Linked DNA regions of Drosophila melanogaster. The protein of the gene in region 2 interacts with the protein of the main gene of each other region in a pairwise test. Each region holds a gene or a part of one and is shown on either strand. Other genes may lie near its edges.

The links.
Region 1: the proteins of CG32206 (region 2) and Sema5c interact in a two-hybrid assay, tested with the Drosophila melanogaster proteins (one large-scale study listed by BioGRID).

What each region holds. Positions count from the first base shown.
Region 1 is NT_037436.4:12,074,557-12,085,766, reverse strand, and holds the start of Sema5c (semaphorin 5c), read left to right. Parts: upstream 1-3,936; 5' UTR 3,937-4,415; coding exon 4,416-4,420; intron 4,421-4,808; coding exon 4,809-4,972; intron 4,973-5,726; coding exon 5,727-5,826; intron 5,827-11,210. UniProt on the Drosophila melanogaster protein: Regulates the motility of migrating epithelial cells by providing guidance cues within the migratory environment and may also play a role in development of the olfactory system. May act as a positive axonal guidance cue.
Region 2 is NT_037436.4:19,406,531-19,418,000, reverse strand, and holds the start of CG32206 (uncharacterized protein), read left to right. Parts: upstream 1-5,088; 5' UTR 5,089-5,627; intron 5,628-11,470.

The DNA.
Region 1 (11,210 bases), 7.3 Mb from region 2:
TGTGTTAAAACTTATTAATTTTCTTTGGTCAAAAGCGTTACACACAAGGGTTATAATAAATTTGTTTTATTGCAATAAATCGAGCGCTAAATGAAATCACGGCTTAAGCTATTTAATATGGAAATTGTTGTTTTGTTTAAGATTAAAAAGGGTATTCTACTTAATAAATGACTTAATATATGTTTTTTAACAAAATGATTATTAAAAAAATGTGTAATAAATATTAGGAAATGATATTAATATTATTATTATTAATATATAAAAGTTATGTCAAATGATATATCGGAATTCCCCTAATAAAAGCTTTTTCAACGTTATTTATTCGCTTAATTTACAAGTTAAGCGACCAAAAAAAATCACAAATTAATGACTGAGCTTTTAAGATGGTTATTTCGATCACTCCGGCTGTGGCTCATTACCATATTGGCTTTATTTATTTATTTTCGACACATTATTTGTATGGATTTGAAATATTTACACAATTCCCAAAATGAAATATGTAACTCGAATTCAAATCAAACAGTTTCCAAAGATGCCGCCATCGGTTGAACTCGAATTGGAATATTTGGATGACCCTAGCTTATCGCCTCGTGCGATGTCATAAATTTTGTGAAAAATATAGTTTGGCTTGAGCTTGAACCCTATATTTGTAATAGTTTTCGACTGCAGATAAGCTGATTTAATTTTCAATTCCAATTCCTGAGGGTCGCGCAATTGAATCGTATTTTTTTGATTGTGCCAGAATTTATGTTCTGGCCTCTAATATTTAATGGCATTTTCTTGGTGGCTAATAAAACAGATTTCCACTTTATTTTATCGCTTTCTGTCCGTCGTGGAAAGTTGCTTAGCATACTCGTTTTTCGATTTTTCATCTTTCACTGCCTCGCCCCATGACAATTTTTAATCACCCCAAAATTAACCGTGCAACACCAACGCATTTTAATTGTTCGCCAACGAGGCACAATTTATGACTCGCCTTGTGTCCCCAATAAAATTCAAATCGAATCGATTGGGAATGAAAATCGAAATGCACTCGCACTTTGATTCGAATCCCCCTTCATTGGATTCAATTCTATTTTAAGGTCTTTTCAATTTGCATGCCCAATCGATGATCATCAGCCAATTTGATTGGTCCAGACAGACACATTCGCATTTGGACTATATATTTTCCAGTTCTCGGTTTCAGTTTTTTTTTTTTATGAATTTATGGGCCGGCAGTTGCATTTTATTGCTGGAAAGTGTAGATTTCGTGTGGAGCATTTTATTTATTTTCGCTTTCCCAAACTGGCAACAAAGATTTTCATTTACTTATGATTGGATCTTGAAACGGATCAGATTACGCGAAATATTTAATAAATTGATTGTATGTTCGTAAACAATGATATTTTTTATTTCGTGATTCTGTCGTTGAAAATTCTGTTAACAATTGAGTAATTCATAAATATGTTGCGACCACAATTTATTTAAGGGATTTTGAACCACAAAATAAAAACATATTATTCGGGAGCAAACAACATAGAACAGCCTACATACACAGTTAAAAATTCTCGATTGATATGTTATATATTAAAATTAATAAAGGGTAAATGGTATGCATAAATCAAATATAATATATACAACAGAATTGAAATATATTTTTAATAAATGTATCTCATTTTATTCCAGTAACTTAGCCATTTTCTCAGTGATATTAGATATCAGCTCACCCCTTATCTTCTGTCAAAGCCGTAATAATTCACTTTTGGTTCAAACAAATGACAAATGCAAATATTGACAAACGACCCAACTGAATCAACTGACTGTCAATCTCCCCCAAAACGAAAACCCTCCCTATCTGTGCACAAAATGCAGCTAAATGAAACCCTTTGTGGGTTAATAACAATATTGACAGGTGAAAACCATTAAACCCTCTGCCGGAAGAGGAAGTCGACCGCTCTAAGGATATGCCCTCGATAAGGACGCTTCCCTTTCTCCAAAATTTGGACCCAAGTGATTTACGGTAGCCAGGCCAGCAAAGATAGCCAAGATCTTTCCATATTAACAAAAGAAGATATAACTACTAGACCTACCTGACGGAACCAGCCGATGCCACATTAACATTACAATTGTCGGTCGGAAAGTTAAGCCGTAAATTATCGGGGTTCTCGGGGAAGTGGTTTCGTCTATCGGTATCACTACCAACAAAATTAGCATATTTGGCCACTGTGTCTTTTCGGCCAAGACAAGAAACGCAGGCCGCGTCGACAATGGTTTAGGTAGCCGTAAATTGTCATGGGCTGGCAATGTTTTGGGCCTATGCTAATGTCGATCGTTGTCTGCCCACACTCAACTTTAACTCCCGGATCGAATTGAAACGGATTGGACGGATGGCATCGGTCCTCATGTTTGTGTATCCCTTGGGTTCGTGCTGTGGCATAAACAAAATCCGAGGATCGTGTTGCAGTTGCATTCAAGTTGAGGTTACTGCACCTTCGGGACGGTCCATTTGATGGTTTCGTATTTGTTCTCAGCGACCAGCTGTGTTTTCACACTTACTCTGGGAGTCAAGGCTGACAAAGATCTGAATAGTACAGCCTGGGATGTCTGCAGTAAAAGGAAAACCTTGGAAGGAACACTAAAAAAATAGAACAAAGCCCCACCAGGTGAATGAGCAAAACTAATCCCGTGAAAATGCGTCATATCTGTTGTTGTTCCTTAAATAAGAACTTTATGGTGTTGGACTTGAGATGAGTGATTCAGGTACTGTAAACTGTTGTACAAAGCATTAAAACACCGTTTATACTTCATTATGATAAAGAAATAATTAAATAAGTGATAAATCATTCCTTTTGTATCAAAAATATACTATACTATCTATCTGTATAGAATGAGAAAATCTATTAAATCATTTGTTTTGGCGCCATTTCTATGATTTGCTAATCGAGTATCTTTGCTGATGGGCAAAAACGTCGCAAGGCGGAAAAGATAGGATCTGTTGATCCCTCGTCTGGAGGAATATATCACGTGTCCTCGAACCGCGACGTCGGCAATACTAATGTCAATTTGTCAGGCTACCAAATCGAAGCACAGCAAGTGCCCGTCCCACCCTCCAAGTGGCTTCTCTATACCTCTTCGCGGAGCTGCACATCCCGATCCCGATCCCGGAGATTCAGATTCTGATTCTGAAGAGTCGTTCTCGTTGTCGTTGTCGCATGATATATGAGCGCCCTGCCCAGTTGCTGCTTCGGCTGCCGTAGCCGCGCCTCTTAACTCCCAAGCAGACACTGAGAGAAATTCGTACTTACTTTTGTGGGATGACTTGAAAAATAAATTTGGATTGCTATTACTATCTAAGAGACTTGCCCTTAAATTATTCGATTTAACAAACAGTTCAGTTAAAATAATAAATTACAAAGATGAAAATAAGGTCTTTTAATTATTTTATTATTATTTTTTATTTTTATTTTTACAGTTGAATTATATTATATATAGTTTTTAATTCATTGGATTATTTCATAGGTAAGGACCTCAAAACTATGCTACACTTCTGTGTACTTATAAATTTTATGAATTAAGGCTTGAAAAGTCTTTAACATTTAAGATACTAGCAGAAAATCATTAAAAACGAATACACATAATTCTGAAAAATATTTCTTGAATAAATTATGTAAAATATATTTTCGTTTTTAAATTTTGAATCAAAGGAAAGCGAATTTTAAATATTTTTTTCCTTGTTGTATTGCACATTTTTTCCGAGTGCATTCTTCAAGCCGAAATTGAGCCGGTTATCTTCGTCGGCGTTTTAGCCTGTTCTCTCTTGTTTGCCTCGGCGTTTTTTTTTTGTTTTGCGTTCGTGCTTCGTTTTCACGTTTTTGTTTTCGTTCCATTCGCTTCTCTGTCTCACTCTCTTCTCTCTCTATCGACTGACTATGGATCCGAATCCGAATCCATGGTGGGTTCAGTTTCTTGCGACTCTTTGCGCGGTCAACTTCGCCGATCGGTCGGGCATGCGCGTCCGTATAACTCGTATCTGAATAATCATAAGAGTAGGAAATCGAGGCAGAAGTAAAAACCCGTCTCGCTATATTCGTCGACCGTGTTGTTGGTGTCTATCTGTGTCTTTTGTCAATGTTTTTAACCCAACTCCACTTGAGGGGGAGCCAATCCGCCTTTCTTCTGAAAATTTCTTTCAAATAATACGAAAATCGTATGGAAAATTGAAAAATTGTGAGTGTTGTGTGCAAAGTGAACCACGGTGATCGTAGTTACGGTCAGATCATCTGAAGAATCAGAAACACGCGCCTTGCTCGATTCCCCTGCTTATCAGGCACATGCCTATATTATACAATTTACCAACAGTCTTTTACAATCTGTTCGCCGCAAAAGTTGAATGGAATAAATTTTAGTCTTTTATTTTGCACGAAACGTGACACTAAATGAAGTAAGTTTCGACTATCTCATCTGTATAATCGACGTTTTTTGCTGTTTACAATTTTTGTAATATTTTTTGAGGAAGTGTAAAGTGCTGCAACAAAAACTTATTACTAATCTTCAGGACAGATTAAGGGGTTTCTGTTAAATAGTGAAACATAATTCAAAATGAAATATAATTTAAACTTATTTAAAAGCTAGTGTTTAAGGAATTATTGAAGACAATTTTAATTTAAAAAATTTAAGAACTGTTATTTCTGAGTTGAAAAGAGGATAAATAACATTTAAGAAGAAATTGAGTTAGCGTTTGTTGAACGTCGATAATTAGTTAAAAATGTATGAAAAACTATATTATATCCACAACACACATTACAACTTCATTTCTTTTCTTTTTGCAGCATGTTAATACTGAAACTTCCCAAAATGTTTAGCCAACTGTGGCTTCTTCTGATTCTATCGCTCTTAACCCTAGAAGGCCCACAGCCTTCGACGGGCAGTGGTTATACGACAAAATCAAGTGTGGATTTGCTGGAAAACGATTCGCGATACATCTCATATCAAGGTGAGTTCTCGAGGTGGGCGGATTATCAAAAATTACTCGAAACTGTGTCAATTGCACGGCAATCAATCAAGTTGGCCACTTGAAGCGGTGGAACTGTAAATTGGGTTGATGTCTGTCAAAGTTCTAAGTGATTCCGAGAGTCTGCTGCAATCGATTGCACAAATGTTCGGTTCGATCGAACAGGTGCCATTTCGAATACAACGAATACACCCATCTGCCCAACTGTTTGTATTTGCACGGAATGTCAACAATGATCTCGATTTAACCGAGTTCCCCAACAAACCGCTTTTATGACACCCCAATACATTCGTGTATCTGCTGCTTTTAATCAGAAAAAGTTTCGCATTTTGTTAAAATATTTGTTCTTTTTTTGTGATTTTTGCACTGAAATGTATCTCGAAGTCCGTCTTAAAATGCGAACTCAGCCCAACGTTGTGTTGACAATGATTTTAATTTTTGTTTAGCGCTTTTTTATTTTATTTCGCACTTAAATATTGAAAAGTATATGTTTTACCAATGAATCAGTGAATCTTTTAAAAACCTTGAAAAATATGGGTTAAATAAAATTGAGCTTAATTGTGCCAAGATGCCAAAATGTTTTAATAAATTTGCAATATAATTGCTGAGATAATAATTGCTTATATAATAATTGCTAATATAATTGCTAATAAAACTTCAATTAAATTGCTTAGTATTTGTTTTTACGATTTTGTGCAATCTTTTTCTTACAAAAATGTTTTTATTTTCTTAACAGATTTAATGTCGACGGCCAAACGATTTTACGATCCCGAAACGACCTGGTATTCGGAAATGCTATTCGACGTGGCCAGGAACCAAGTGATTGTCGGCGCCAGGTAAAAACCGGGAGGCTATTGTTATTAGTTATTATAGATTTTGTTTCCGGCCAATTGAGTCACGGCTAAGCCGTGTACCTAGTCATTATGACTGTTTTTATTTTTCCTGTTGCGTCAAAACCCCAAAGATATGTACTGTTTGAAGGACTTGCTTTTTAATTAGTCTCACCGATAAGTGGGTCATTATTTTGGGCATTGATAGCGATAAGAAATGAAAAGGGAAAACACCCCCGAAAATAAATCGTCACTTAAGCATTTGTTAACTTTGGGTTATCAGCAGAGAGGCATTACGTAAAATTCGACGATCAGAAGAAAATAAACAGATGCATTGCGTACGTAAAACGGGTACTGATTATATTCGTCTTCTGTGTTTTTTTAGCGTATTACGCAAGTTACAAAAAAATACACAAAAGTGTATAAAAATGAAAGTGCACGCACTGGTATACCAAAGATTTTTTACATATCAACCAAGATCGACCAAAAACAAAAAAAACCCCTCGTCGAGAACTTATCTCAAGTACCTGCTGTGCGCAAGTGAATAAATAAAGATAATTGAGTGTAAAAAAAAGAATAAAAAAATTAAGAAAAGAGGGAAAGGGAACAAAACCGAAAAGGTAACCAAATAATAATATTGCAGCGCCGAGGGAGAAGTGGTATACTCCGTTTATTTGTTGAGCAATTTAATATACGCGTTTCGAGATACAAAAGTATCTGTCGCTTTAGCCGGGTTACTCGGTTCTTGTAGTTTACTTTTCATTTACGCGTCTTGAAGTTTGTTTGTTTCTGCTTCGCATAGATATGGATGCGATACTACTCCACCTCTGTCGGAAAAAAAAACACGATAAGATACACACATGGACGCATGTGTCTATAGTGTCGTCATGTTGATAAACCCACCTTAACCCATTGCTGCCCGGGAAGGGAAGTCGTTTATCATGTTCCCTTGTCGTCAATCATTTGTCATACTTTTCAGTTTCAGTTTTAGTTGCCTTTTCTATTCTTTATTGCCTACGATTTTCACTTCGACCATAACTCCACTCTGCCATATTTTTTGTTGCTCTCTTATTTACCAACCTCTGAATTATGGCATAATGATAAGAGCCCGATATTAAAAAAAAAAAAAAAGAAAACCGTTTGTAGCGAAGGGCAGTTGCTCCATATAGAGGGAATTATGGTGCTGCCTGTAAGTAGGCGGCCAGATAGGCAAGTGGGCTTTATTAACCACATAAAACGTAATTTATTTTTATAATGTGTGGGCTTAGTTGATAGAGCCAACTAAGCAAAGGGACTAGACGGGTTTTTAGATAGCACCAGCCTCTGGGATTTCTTTTAACTTTTTGCCTTGAGACTGTGCTCAATACTTTGAGCTGCTTCGATGAGAGATAAACTTTTATTTTGTGAAAGTTGAGGAGGTCTTGATTAGATATATAGGTTAAAGACTTTACTTCGATTGACACAAGTCTTACTTAGTGACTGCTATGAATCAGTAATGTTTGCTTACATTTTTGCAAAGAAATATCAAGTAGTCTGAACTTTATGAAGTAAATATTGTAACTACCTTTTTGTTATTCAATTTTTGGAATATACACTATGGATCATTACAATCTCAAATCAAAATCAACTGAAGATTGCACGTAGCGATTTAATTTGGTACGAGATAAGTGCCACCACTTTTGGTGCACTACCAATTTCAGTCCTAATCTCTAGTAAACCACCTGAGGTTAACTATCATTCTTGTTAAAGCAGTTTCGATAAGGCTTCCTTCGAATAAAATAGAAGTATGGTGCTCGCTTTGAAGACCCGCAAAAGTCGAAACCCACCGAATGACCCTCGAAGTAAACCCCCAACGTAAACCATCTCTAATCGCAGACCGCATTTTAATTGTGGCAATCCGGCCGATCACATCAAAACTACACAGTCGAACAATAGTTTTTATGATTTCTGTGGTTTAGATGGGCAATTGCCAATGAACTGGTAGTGGTACTATGCACATACTACATAGTATCTGTAAATGTATCTGTATCTGTGCGGTGTATTTGCTGTGCAGATGTGCTGGTGAGTGCATGCTCCTTGTATCTGGACTGCAGCACACTTGACACGACTGCAAGATCGGATTACTGCCAGCCGCCTGTTGACGGGCTCGGCTCTGGAAAATGGGAATGGAATCGAGAGTGGTGGAATGGGCATGGAATCGGGACTGGAATGGGCATGGATATGGGACTCCTTCAGTCTTTTGCCCGTGTTCCATGACGAGTGACGAGGCAACTTGCTCGGTTGGTAACCGTCGCGTAATTTTCTGTCATGAACAGGAAAATGGAGCGGCATGTTGGTACACTGAGAGAAATTAGCTACTTAGGTTTCAAAAAATTTTATTATTGAGACAAATTATATTTTCTTTTTAATACTTAGCTCGAATTAATGTTCACTGGCATGTTGTTTTCAAATTATTATAAAAGTCTTTCTTGTACATCGCAGTGCATTTGGCTCGCAGTGTCCCATGCAACTGGCCGAAATTTGATATAGACTGCATTAAAATAATATTGCTTTTTGTTTTCGCTTTCGTTCGCTTGCCTTCGAGCCTTTTTTTTTGTGTGAGTTCAGTTCCTACATTACCAGTACATTATTTTCATATGTAGGTATTATTTTTCGGAGGGGTCGCATAAGCGTTGTATTTTATGTTGTGGCCTGTCGCAAATGGAGCATGCAAATGACCTGCTGGGAACCATTTCAAATGTTTATACATATGGCCAAACAAAATGTTATATAAACAAGGAAATTATTTTCGTGTGTTGTGCATTACCCGTAATATTGTTTTTCCACTCGAAAATCTTGGAGTGGACAATGCCACGTCAGGGATTTTATTTCAATGGGAGCGCAGTGTCTGACTGTACAATATTAAATATGTTTTTCTCATAGCAATCCAGCTTAAACTAAACATTTGTGTAATAAATCATTATGGTTGTTGGCTAGGAACCACCCAAACTGCCCAAATTACTTGAAACTCAATCTCTGAACTACAAGATACAAAAATGCACCTGTGACAGTCGCGTCAACTCGACGGCTACTGGAGCACACGGATGCCGAAATTGAAATCCAAATTAATCAAACCGTGTTGCACCAGAAACCCGGCACCCCCCTCGCAAACAGGGGCGTTTGCAAAAGGAGAGGGGGGTGGGGTCAGGGCGTTTTGCGAACTGTTGGCAAGCATTTTGCATATTTCTATTAAAAACCCCTTGAGTGGCTCCAGACTGACACAAAGCTATTCGAACGCGGATTGATATTGAGAGCCTGGAATGCGGTAGCGTAGGCAGAGCTCATAAAAGTGGCACAGTCATAACTGCCTATGAAGAAACATGCTGAGCAAGTTAAACATTTCAGTTCCTAGCTTACAAGTTTACCCAAGAGAATGTATTATAAATCCAGATTATGACTTTAGCTATAAGAAAGCTACAAGCTGGACTTTTACTCATTTTGGAATTACTATTTACTACCTAGATTTACCCTTTAATAACACAGTTAAATGTCGAATCAAATTTTCCTTTAGTCAAGTGAAAAATTCGCTTTTCGAAGCTTGCCTGTAAATGCTGCAGTTTCAGCCGAGATTAGTGGCGGCCAGTGCGACGGCAATTTTAATTACAAGTAACCCATTTAAGCCCGGCCAGAGCGTGATTTGCCGCCAGTGGAGCGGCGGACAGGACGCCCACGCACCTGGCGCACCGGCGGCCACTTGGCCAACATGGTGGCATGGTGCTATATAGTATAGTTAGTACCTGGCCAAATCCAAATGACTGGCAATAGGCGACAGGCGGCGACACCGCATTTTTAATAGCCCCAGTCTCGGTCGCAGTCTCAGATCGAAAGAGAGTCGAATACTCGTATGTATCCGTATCTGGTATCTGGTATCTATGGGGCCGCAACTTCAACTCCAACTCCAAACTCCACTTGCTCCACTGCGCTTACAAAGAGGCCTTTTTGTTATCTTGTCGCGCTTGTCGTTCAAATAAAAGTTGACGGCGGCGCAAGGTGTGCGAAATAAGCGAATTGCGAATGCTCAGGGGTGCACACACACTCGACCATATCGATACGAAAATACTTCCAGATACAGATACATTACATGTAGATCATTTTTGTGGTCTGTTGTGCGGATAAGTGGGTGGTGTGGTGCAAATGGGTCATGGCGAGTTTAACAGCGTTACGGTTTACCCAATTTTTATGGGTTTTTTTTTTAAATATTTATATTTTATTTCTTTTCGCCCGAGTATTGCACAAGTTTAAGCTGCACAGCTGGCATGATTTTATTGATCTTCATATTACGTTTTTGCAACAAAAGGCAAATATTTACCTTATTGTAAGCCGCTTTATAACAAGTTTAGATTAACTTATAGATATCAGAATAAAGTTTTATAGAATGTTTTTTGTTTAGTTTAATAATCTCAAGAGCTTTCGAAGCTAAAGACTCGTTAGAGATCAGAAAATATGTAAAGAATTTCTAAGTGCAGCAGGAAAGCTTTGAGCAGGTACAGAAGATAACCCATATGATGATCGATTGGGCAAACATCCGACCATTTCCATGTGCGAATTTGGCATATTTGCACGCACGCGCTCCGTTGAGATAGCAAATGGCAAAGAATGAAGAAACAAATAAACATTAAACAACTAAGCAAACAAACCAAAACAGCACACAATAAAAAAAAATAGAAAACAGAAAGAAAAGCGGTACATGTGTATCGCCCTTTTTTCACACCTAAGCGGAATTTTCGCTGTCGCCAGGTGAAACGAATGATAAAATCAGGTGAGGCGGCTGATGATGAGTGCGCAAGAGGGGGAGGGGGGGGTTAGCTATTCGAAAGCCAATGCTAATTGACAAGGCCGTTGCTTATCGCTCACTGGGCGTAGTTTTGTTGGTCTCACTCAGAAATAAAAATATAAAAAAACAGCGCATTGAACTTGACAGGCACGCATAAAAAATTGAATAGTTTCTAAAGCCATTGAAGAACTAAGAAAGCAGAAACGTTGCATCTTTGAAGTTTTTAAAAACTTTTATTTATAGCTTATTTTACTGTGTATGAAATTAACAGAACGTTTTGGGAATTTGCTACGCTTGTTTAGAATTTGTTGCGGTTTGTTTTGGATTTTAGAACATAAATACAAATGTGTAGAATATACATATAATGCTTATTTTCTATGAAAATACATATTTATCGTCTTTAGTAATTTATATCGAGGCTGTAAGATAATATTTCATATATTTTTGCTGTCTTCATTTCTAAGTACAAAAGCATTAAAAATACGGCTTTATTCTTCGTCATAGTTGTTTTTACGAATTGATATGATTTCCTAAGTATTATTTTGATTCAAGTGATAAAGCAGTTGGCCACTTAGAA
Region 2 (11,470 bases):
AGGGGTCAGGGAGTAATGGGTTAAGGGGGGGCTCGCATTTTAATAAGGTTTGTTGGTTAGCTAGTTTTGAGGTTGAGCTGAGTGTAGTTTTGGTTTAGTTGCATGCGCCCACACCCAGCCTCTTTTGGCTTTCGGGGCTGCCAGCCATCTGGGTTGGAAAAGCAAAGGAAAGTGGAAAGTGGAAACGAGTAAGCGATGAGAAAGGGGCTCCGGGGGAGTCTGATAACTTAACTTGAATGGCTATTGCACCAATTTTTTATTCAGACATTAAAGCCCAATATGGCATAGAAAGAAGAGTAATTATCATTTATCGAAATGATGGAAATCGATTGGATTCTAAAGGATTGAATTGGCTTTATTTTGGTGCCATTGAAAGTATATCCATATGTATTAGAAGGAATTGGATCGCGGAAGTATCCAGCTTCTTGTTAAAGTCAAGACATATATATATTTCCTATTCGCTATCAGTTTTCCGAATGTAAAAAAATATACCTCACATTTTTTGGCTTTCGGATGGGAAATTAAGTTTGAATTATTTGCATTTGTCTAGCAACAGGAATAAAGCTTCATAAGAACGGAGATGCAAATGCAAACGAAATATTATATATCAACAGTAATGGTATAAATCAAAAGTCCTTGTCATACCACCCTTCACCATAATAGAAATTTATTGCATACTATACTACATTTGGGACTATGCTTTTTTTTCTTTAACAACGTTAAAAACTTGAAGCTAACCGGCTGCGTTAGCAAAAAGTGTTAAAAGTTATTCGTCAACGTCACAACATCGTTGATGATGCCACACACACCGCAACCAGCAGAAGATAGGTAAACAAAAAATAAAATAACTCACAAAAACATATGCCAAAAAAAGTGAACACATTCAGTGTTCATAAAGTCATCATGTTTTCATATTTCAAGACTGCAACCACATTGCTGTTTGCTCATGTTCTTAAAGTGGTAACTGCCCAAAAAAGAAACTCCGCAAAAAGTTTCTGGCCAGCAAAAGGTAAACAAACTCTCACAAATTCCCAGCAAACAAACTTCAACTTGAACACACCCAAAATGTCTTCATTTTCACCTGTTTCCAAATGCTGTGCCTCCTTTTGCTTTCCACATAACGCCTAACACAGTTGCAAATGTGCAGAGACGACAACACGGGCGGCAAAAGAAAAACCTCAGACCCAAACATATTTGCATAAACAGAACCCCACTTTGATGGTTTTGCAGGACGGAGCCAGAACGTCCAGGGTCTTTCAACTATCAAATGCAGTTGGTTCAAAAGCTCCAAATTTTTATGAAATATTTGGTTGCTTTTTTTGCTTTGCTTGGCGAGGAGTTCTTGTCCTCTGGCCTACAGGATATATAACAATGTAATGATTTTATTTGGTAGCGATGATATTTCTAACTTTCGAAGTGGTTTAATAAATGCTACTACCACGCCCGAAAAGAGTGTTCTAAATATGCCTTAAACCATCGCAAACCCCTGGAGTCCTCTCCACATTTCTTGCTGTTGTGCGGCTGTGCTTGGCATCATCAGGTTAGTGTTTAACCTCTGCAGAGTGCTGCAGTCCACTCAAAAAGTCTTTGACTTGCCATTCCACAACCCCTTTTGGCCAACTTGGGCCGGGCAAAAAGGCGAGGCAACCAACCAGTAAACCGAGGCAGCCAGTCAGCCAGAGTTAACCAGTCGCCGTAGTCATCATCATCCTAGCCAGCTTCATAATCTCCAGCATCATAATAGCCGTAGTCGCTGCTCGGCATAGCTTTTAGCCACTCGGCTTGCTCTTTAACGCGTTAACGGGTTAAGTTGCCTTTTGTGACCATGTTTTGTTTTTAGCCATGCCTAAAACAACAAGGGTGCACCACAAAAATACGTTATTGACACCGTATTTTTTCTCACGACTGCAAGTAAAAAAACAAAACAAAACACCTTGTTACTAAATATAAAATCGCAATTTAGGATAACAAAATAGTATATAATACAAAAGTTTAATCGTGTTAATTAGTATCGAAGTTCTATGGCTTACAAGCAAGTTTTTATTTTGACGTGAACAACGGTATTTGGCTCAGTGTACATGGATATAGAAACAGAACACGGACGCTTTATGTGTAATTAGCCACGCCGACTTAGCCATAATCCGTGCGGCCGCCGTGTTAAATGCCTCGTGGACAGATTTTAAAGCCAATTCTGAGGTGACTAAAGCCACCGCAGCGGCAAACCGACAGATTTATGCCATTTTAATCGACTGGGGAAAGCAGGAAAAATGCTGAAACCACGACCTCCAGGAACTTAATTTTTCCGAGCCGCAACAACTGTGGCCACTTCATCTCTTCGACCGCGCATTCATCTCACTTGCAGGCGGAATGAGACCAAAAAAACCAGATGGGGGTTACTGAGTGTCACTAGCTGACAACCCCCCGATGAACATAGGCGTGGTGTCCTGTCTAGGACTTAGCACGACTTCCCCCCGCCGATTTTCCAAGCCACCCATTTCTGTCTGAGACTTGTCTCACTGCCTGCGGTTTTGACCCTCCAATTTAAGCCACGTTCTCCCTAGGAAGGAAGTTTATAGCCTACGAAATCCAAATTATCCAAATAAATCGAATAAGTAATTGTTAACAGTGTACTCTAAATCGTGTAAGGATATATAATAATATTTTAATGTGTTGAATAGAGTAGTAAAGTTTATTCGCTTTGGCATAACATTGTCATATTATTACTGTATTATGTTATTACTTGTGAATATCTAAATAGTATTAAGTTTCGTATCTAAAAGTTTGTTGTATGTAGCTCAGTAAGTCAGTAGGGCTCATAATAACGAGGAAACTTACAAAACTATCCTTGGCTAAGGCTTATGGGACTGGCATTAAAGTAATTCAAGACCATTTCCATCTCTCGGGAGCCAACGACTTATCCTCGGGCAATCATTACTTGCTTAGCACATCACGCGTCTTAAAGGGAAGCGAACCCTATTTTCTGGATTTCATTTCAAAGCATTTTTTCCACGCCCTCTGCGGCATTTTTCTTCCGCAGAACTTTGTCATAATTTTGCAGTGAGGCACGTCGACTTCCACGGACTCGGGACTCCGCACTCCGGACTCCAGCGAGTGCCCGGAATCCTCTGACGCTCGGCCCCGGGCCTCAGCTAGGCTGTCAGCGTGATAACTCCTTTTCGTGTTAAACATTTTCAACTCGCCTTGAGTGCGCGGCTTGTTCGGGTTCCATGGGCTATATGGGTTGTACGGGTTTTACGGGTTGCACGGGTTGTACGGGTTGTATGGGTTATGCAGCAGCTGTCGCCTGTGCGGACGCACACAAACAAGGTCCTGCACTCACACTCATGTGCACTGGAAGAAACTTCTGGGATTTTCTAATCGTTATTCCTTAAAGCGCCGCTGCTTAAGAATATGAGTATGAATCCAAATGTATCATTTTTTATCTGTCTTTACAACTTTCTTTATAGGAACGAAACTCACACTTTTTCTGAGAGAAGTAGAAGTACTTATATATGTTCATAATTAAAAGATGCTTAAATTGTGGTACGAACACCTGACATTTTAGTGGGCTGCTTTGGGGTAAAGCTTGTTTACAGTGCAAAGATGCTTCCCTGTCGACTCTGTCACACTCTGACTGCCGAGCGTCCATTGGATGGAGGGTGGTGGCAGGAGGACTTCGCCGCGTGTCCTGCGAGGCTACGACTCTTTTGGAGTCAACTGCATGTCAGTTTTGTTCGCTCCTCCAGCCTTCGCCTGCTTTTGATTACAATGCTGGTTATGTTCTCACCCTCGGCGAGTGCGAGTGTGTGTGGCAGCGCCGTCCTGCTGGATCCTGCATCCTGGATCCGGGATCCTGGATCCCGGCATCGTTTGCATCTGATAACACGTTAAGTGCGCTTGTTTATCCAGCAAGATAATTTGGACAAGTGTCACCTCTCGGATTTTCACGCGCCGGCTGCAAAATAAAAAGTAACCCCTGCGAAAATGTCGCAACTTTTCTGAAATATGTACGAGTATGCATGCATGCAGGTCGCCAGAAACTAACTAACTAGCTGCAGTTGGGGTTAACTGCCGCTGGATCAGGTGCAAGACCGGGCTGGGAACCTGGCTTTGGTCCTCCTGGACCGGAATTGTCTCATTTTATTTTGCGGTGCCCGCCGTAATTTCGCTTCCAGCCAGCGCTTCGTGGCATATTTTTTGTTTTCCGGCAGAGGGGCGTACGCGTAATTGGTGGTTAGTTTCGGGTTTGTCCGCAGCAAAAGGCAGATGCCACCTGGTGGCACAGTGGGTGCTGGCACTTTAATGTTGGCTTAGGCTGTTGATAAGCTCTGATTTACTCTATTTTAGGGTAGATATCCCTCTCAAAGGGCTTTACTTTAAGCGCTTCTTATGGCATGGAATTATGTATTTTCCTACAGTTGTTCATTATTTAGAGCAACTTTGTCGAATATTTGAACCTAGTATGCAATTGTGCTTCTTAAAAGGCCTTTAATATATATATATATATATCTATATAGCTGCCAAATAATCCCATTACCATTGTGCACCTCCGAATTCTGCTTCTTTATAGCCTGGCCACTAAAATCAGCACAAATCGATGTGTCTTGGAATTTTCGGACATTCCGAACAATCCGAGCTCACCTGACCATCGCAATGCCGTGCCAGAATTAACCCACATTAACCGGAGTCAAGTTGAAATCGGGAACATAATATCCTCGGAAAAACGCGCATGTCCGTCAGAATCCCTGACGCATGCAACATTTTTTGACAGCAATCAGATGTTTTGGAATGTTGGCGCCCAGACACACACACACACACACACACACAGACGCACGGGCAAACGCTCACACCGACGGAGAGAGCTTTGTTTTTGTTAACCTTGCCTAACGACGAATGGCGAAAACAAAACAAAAACGTGGAGAGGCAACAGCAAGAGTCGGAAAAGCGGGAGCACGTGCAGAGCGGAGGAAAATGAAAATCTTGGCTGCGCGTGCGCACAAAATCCGCTGAATGGAAGTGCCAGAGAGGCGAAAGCTTCTTTTTGGCCTGCCTTTCGGGGCGTCCAGGATTCCGAGTTTGTGGCCAACTCATTACGTTCGAATGTCAGTAGTTGAAACAAGGACGCGTTACGTGCAGAATACCCAGCGCGCAGCCAGGGAAAATCGCATAAATCGCCCAGCGCGTTGAGTTAAGCGGATGAAGTTAAAAATTTAATTGAAATACAGCAATGAAAATGCAGGAAAATTCTGCTGCTTAAGTGCTAAAGTGCTTTAGTGCCCCGTGTGTTCTTGTGATTTTTCCCAGAGCAAAATTGTGCCGAATCAGCAGATAGTCGTTACGTATACGCAACGTGTGCGGAGTGTTGTTTTATTGATTGCCCAGCAGCAGAGCCACACTTAAACCACTGGGAAAATGCTGATGAAACAGTGAAGATTTAAAGAGCAGCCTCTCCTCCGAGGCTCGAGCAGTGAAATGCGTGCAGCTGACAGTCAAGGTCGCCGACGCCTCATGTCACCCACAAAAACATAAGGATCTACAGAGCAAAAAACAATTGTAATAAAAGCAAACGAAGCATCTTCGTAGGCAGTTTCCAGTCATCAGCAGCTCATCAACTAAGCGAACTTAAAGTAAGCAAAGTGCCAAGTCAGTCAAAAAGTAAAAGAACAAAAATTGAAAATTCCTTTCCTGCCGCACTTGCAAGGATGGGGCAAAAATTTGGTGTGGAAAGGAGGTAATCCCACCGAGAAAGGCTGCCCTCTTTAGTGTGTGTGCCGCAACTTATCTCCTCGGTTAGACACACATGGATACATTATGTACTCCATATACGATATGGCAGGAGATACATACATATATAGGGGGAACAATCCTTAAGGCGGCTACAAAGAATTGTCTGCAGGCAGCCTCTTGTCGCTGGATTCGTACTTGTACTCTTTCTTTTAGGACTACAAACTGTTGGATTACTTGTGTATTGGTTATTTTCGTGTGCCCCGGCTGACATAGTTTTTGGCTTTGGCTTTTGTCTATTATTTACGGCCTGTGACTGCATTACAGGTAGCCCAGCCAAACGAACTTTGAGACAGGTCAGGACACAGATTTCCGGTCTCGAGTGCTTGAGTAATGAAAATGTGACTACGCCGCTTTGTTTTCGGATCTGTGGCAGGCAAATATTTAATGGAATTGAGTTTGTAACACAAATGAGGACTTTTTGGCAGCGGATGAGCTTGGTACTTTCATTTAAATATTTAAAAGAATTCCATGTTAAGAAAAGTGGATAAACTCCTTCAAAAACTTTCGAATATAAGCACAAAGTCAAAAAATATATCTATATTGGCTTTATTGGAGACGCGGTTGTGGACTTAATTATGTTTAAAAATATGTTAAGCCTGACGTTTAAAAAGTTTATTGGCGTTCCTGTAACCTAATTTAACCAACAACATTATTGTTTTAAAGGTTCAAGTACATTTCAACAGGATTCTGAGAATTATGCTCTTCATAAAACGCAGACCTGCCATTCGTTTGATGAGTAAAAGGTATTTGAAAAGTTATGCTTTAAATGAGTCTCAAAACTTTCTTGCGCTCGTATCTCTCTCTAGTGTCAAGTTAATTTCGCCTTAAAGATTGTTGATGACGACCCATTTGCGATATCTACACTCGCCCCTTTTAACTTTGTCATTCTACGGGTACAAGAAAAAGGAGGCGAATATCAACTCACATCAAGTGGAGGTTCCCGCCCACGTGGCGTATGAGTTATGCATTATGGCTTGCCGCTTCGAGACTTTCCCCAAATATATTTCCATCATCAGAGGCACTTTGTTTGCTCTACGCATTACGACAAATATTTGCCCATCGGACAACATATTCTTGTGTTGTCTTCTGGCGTGTTCTGCCGTATTTTACTCTGCTTTATTTTCTCTGTGTTTTTATACTTGTTTGTTACTTTGGCTTGTGGGCCGTGCGAGAACGAGGTCAGAGCTAAAATCTAAGCCGTAAGCTCTACCCAAAACAGCTGATGTCAGCAGAATATGTGTGCACGTAACGTGTTTTTTGTTTCAGATTCTCCAGAGAAACACACAGAAAAAACGATGTTTAGTATATCAATAGGTGTGGCAGTGAAAATTCCATAGATGGGATTCCAAAAATCGAACTTACTAACAGGAATGCTTGTTGTTAGGCAGCAGAGAAATGTTAAAAACATCAATCATGTTGTATTGAGAAGATTATAAACGTATAGATTAAGGAGTTCAAAAAACTATTTTGGTGAAATTACTGAAAATGGTGGCTGTGCCACATTATCTTTCGTACTTATCAAATCAATTAAAATTATAATAGTTTAAAAACCATTATTATATTAGGATATGGAAATTTACAGATGGAAAAATAATGATAATAATAACCAAAATTCTATTCAAAAATGGTAATTTTTCCTATCCCACATAACTGTAGTAAGTCTATTTGTAATCGCGAGTTACCTTATAAAAATTGTTATATCTGAGAATGTACAGAACAAAGCCATTTAAATATGGAAAACCGACAAAACTGTAATGGAACTTAGTGATAATTTTTCCGAGTGTTAGGCAGACCTCCAAGTTGATGAGCAGTGGGTTTGGGCTTGGAGGTGGCGCCCCAACAGCCACTCGACCATGGCCGAGAGCGGTGTCAAAGACTTTTTGCGGACTTTGATTTATCTGCAGTGCAGCCCGCAGGCGACTGCTGCACCCACACATTCACACTCATGGACTAGTTGTGAGTTCTGGCATAAATTAAGTGTTTATTTTGGCTTGAGCTGGGATATCGTTACATTTTATGCATGCCAAACTTCCTCGGCTGGTCATCATAAATTTATTCTGTGTAGCCTGCTCTTAGGCGCTACTTGCAGTGCTCGCTTGTGTGGGTGGCGAAACGAAAGTGTGCCAAATCGGAAACGGAAATGATCGGAATTGAGGAAAGTACTCCCTTCGATTTTATTTGGCATGTATCATTGCCGATATATAACAAGAGGCGTCCATTTTACTATTTAAATTCCGAAGTAAAATTTATTGACTTATAAAAATGTAAAAAAGTACAGGCTTTAACTTGAATAAACAATTCAATTCAATTCAATTCAGCTGATCACTTATATGAGCACATAAGCCTATACATAATAATCAAGCTAGAAGAATTATTTGTTTTACTTATATTCGAAATAGAGAGGCAACTCGGCAACTAAAATGACTAATAAACATTGGTTTTGCCACTTGGCCGCACACACAAGATTCATGTTATTTATATAAGCTTCTTCCATTTTTAAAGCTAATGCCGTATGCACATTTCAATCTCGGACCGGAAAATAGAGAGAGAGAGGTGAAAGGTGGCGGGGAGAATAGGAAACTCTCGCTGATTTATGTGCTAGTTTTCCTGGCGATTTCTCGCTTTTTTCTGCGCTTTCCATTTTCGCTTTGGCCCCCTCTAACTAGTTTTTGAGAGTTGTGCACCAGCTTTTTACTCCAATTAAATTTTCATGCCATATGAGCATTTCGCACAGCAACTGGGACAACAACAAGGACGAGAGCTCACACAACGAGACGCTATTTTCAATTTCCGCTGCACAGAAGTACAGAAAGGAATGCGATTTTTAACACAATTTCACTTTGCCGGGCGAACAACAGGCTGCGAGTGTGCCACTGTGTGAGTACTTGGCATAGAAAACGTTGACGACTAAAAACAACAGGCCAGACCCCATCGAAAGCTGGCTTCCCATGCCCATTGCCACCCATTGCCACCCATTGCCACCCATTACCACCCATTCCCACCCATTCCCGACCAATTCCATCCGACTCAAAACCCGACGACCCGACACATCGACCCAGAAAACCCTTCGCCTCACTCACCGACTGACAGTTCAAGTCAAAATGCCCTTTTATTGAGATTTAAGCATTTTTGGGTCATTTCCGAATTGTGTTTGCGCAACAGAGATAGACGCTGGCGGAGCGTGAGGGCACGGCCGGCGTTTAAATATTAAAAACCTTGTAACGAAACTACTAGGAAGCCCGGAAAATCAATAACCAACAGCGGCCAGAGTTGAAGGCTAAACGTGGCGCTACAAAAATAAAAGGCATCGGACGAGCCAGTGGAAAAAAAAACATTAAGCCAACAACCAAAATGGGCATTTTGCATGCATAGATACATGAGATCTGCGAAGGATGGCCGCACATGATGAAAAAGGATACACATGGCTGCGAAAAAATGAAACAACGAAGGGGAATGAAAATGGAAAAGTTGTTAAAACGCTTGTTTTATTGGCATTTAGCCTCAGCTTGTTTGAGAACACAATATAACACGATATTGTAATGTAAATAGTTGAGCCAACAGTGTTTTTTCAACCGTACTTTTCAGCTGTAAAGTAGGGATTTTCCCGCAAGTACACAAGCGATTCAATGGGCTTTTAAGTTGCAGTGGAATTTTACACAGAATAATTGTCGCTGGGCGAATTATGAAAACAAGCTTATCGAGTTTTTATAAGGGCTATTTGTAATGAATGCCTGATTTTAATGTTTCCCAATGGCAGCACAAATCTATGGCTAATACTTAACATTTAACAAACGTCATATGTAGAATATTATTATATATTTTATGTAAGTTACAAATAATGTGAATACTCCACATTAGCCCCGAATTCCGCTTGGAACATCAATCAAATTAAAGTATCAGGCATATGTAGCACATCGCTATCCAAATGCGGAACCGGGATCCATTTGCTGGTGGATATATCAAATGTAAATTACCATAATGTGACCGACATTTTATTCGGGGCTTCCGTGAGCATCGTACTTTCACTTTGACTTTTAGCAAAGCGCTGCTATTTTATATGCCACCACCCCACTCCCCTTCCGTGCAAAACCCTTCTTTGGGCCATTTCGGCTGCTCTTGGCCCTTTCGCGTGTGTGAGTTTAATATATCGCGCCTTATAATGTACGTACTGCTGGTTGCTGTTTGCTCTTTGCCTTGCATGCTGAAAATGGAACTCGGAACTCTCGGCGTAAAAACAAATTACATGTAGGTTAGCCCCCGTTTTCCACCATCCACCACCTCTTTTTTTTTTTGAGCCATTTTGCAGTCGCTTCAAGGCCACAATAGCGGTCAGGCCGTAGTCGGTCAAAGTTGGTAGCTGTTTGGGTTTGGCTCTGCAATTATATTGTACTGTGTTCCTTTTCTTTTCTTTCCTTTTTTTTTTTGGTGGGGCCAACTCTCGGCTCTAATGAAAAATGTTCGCAGGCAGAGCGGGCGCTTTTCATGTTTTCATAAATAATTAAATTTCTCGTTCTGTTTGGCCTTTGTGCGCGGCGGGAGCGGAATAAAAAATGAAATTGAAACGGGCCCAGGGTCGCCACTAATTAGGAGCGTGTTTCGCTGGACTCGGCTTCGCTCCCAGAACGGATGCATTAAATTTGCAGGGAAAGGAGGGGAAAGTTCGAGGGTCTCCATTCAAGTGGCTTCTTGTCAAGTTGCTGTTGCCAATTATGCAAAGTTTTCGGAGCCAACTTGACGTGGCCAATTGCAAACTGAAGCACTTGGACTGGCTTTTCAACTGCTGCTGTATTTGTTTTCGATACTGCGCCCAATGGTCATTTGGCAAGTTATGACAGAAAGTAAAGTAAAATGGTTGTCTAAAAAATATTGTTAGAACATTTTACCAAATGCAGCAATCATGGTTCACAAATTGAATTTTTTAATACACTTTTCGGTGCACAAAATAGACCAATAGTTTAGTGGATCAGATTGTATGCTGCATAAATATCACTCAAAGTTTAGGACATTTTATTTGGATAATGAATGGCTTTATGGGAAAGAAATAGAAACCAATTATTTATCTAAACGGTCGATGATTATATCTAATCCTTATAAGATTTTTTGTTTGATAAATTATGCCTGAAAATGTACTAATTTCCTTGTATACATATAAATGAACATCATAATAAAACGATTCGGGATTAAGGCTATTTACAATTTGCTTGATTTTTTTAGATGTCTTTCACATATCACTATTCTTTAAGTTTAATGCGAAAATCAGAGTTTAATCCAGACAGCCTGAATAGTTTACTGATTGAAGTGGCTACAAATTTCGCCACATGGCATTTTTGTTTGCCAGCCAACTTCTCACATTGTCAGCTTGGCCACAATTACCCAAGGCAACTGAACAATCTGTAAGGGAATATATAAAACTTTGTCCTGATTAAATCGATGACAACCTTTTCCGGCGAGTTCTTCCTTTTTTCCTTTCGAGGATCGAGTGGGTTTCTTTTCTTTGCTGTATTTTGCCAGGCGAAATTGAACTGTGCCATTGGCAGGCCCAGGAGGGCTGTTGTTTTGTTGTTGGTTGCTACACTGGTCCTGCTGCCACGCCCCCTTTATCCTTGGAGAGATGTAACTTCCACGAGGTACTACGTGTCCGTTGCGCTCTGTTTGCGTGAGCCGTAGAAATGCAAGGACCTCT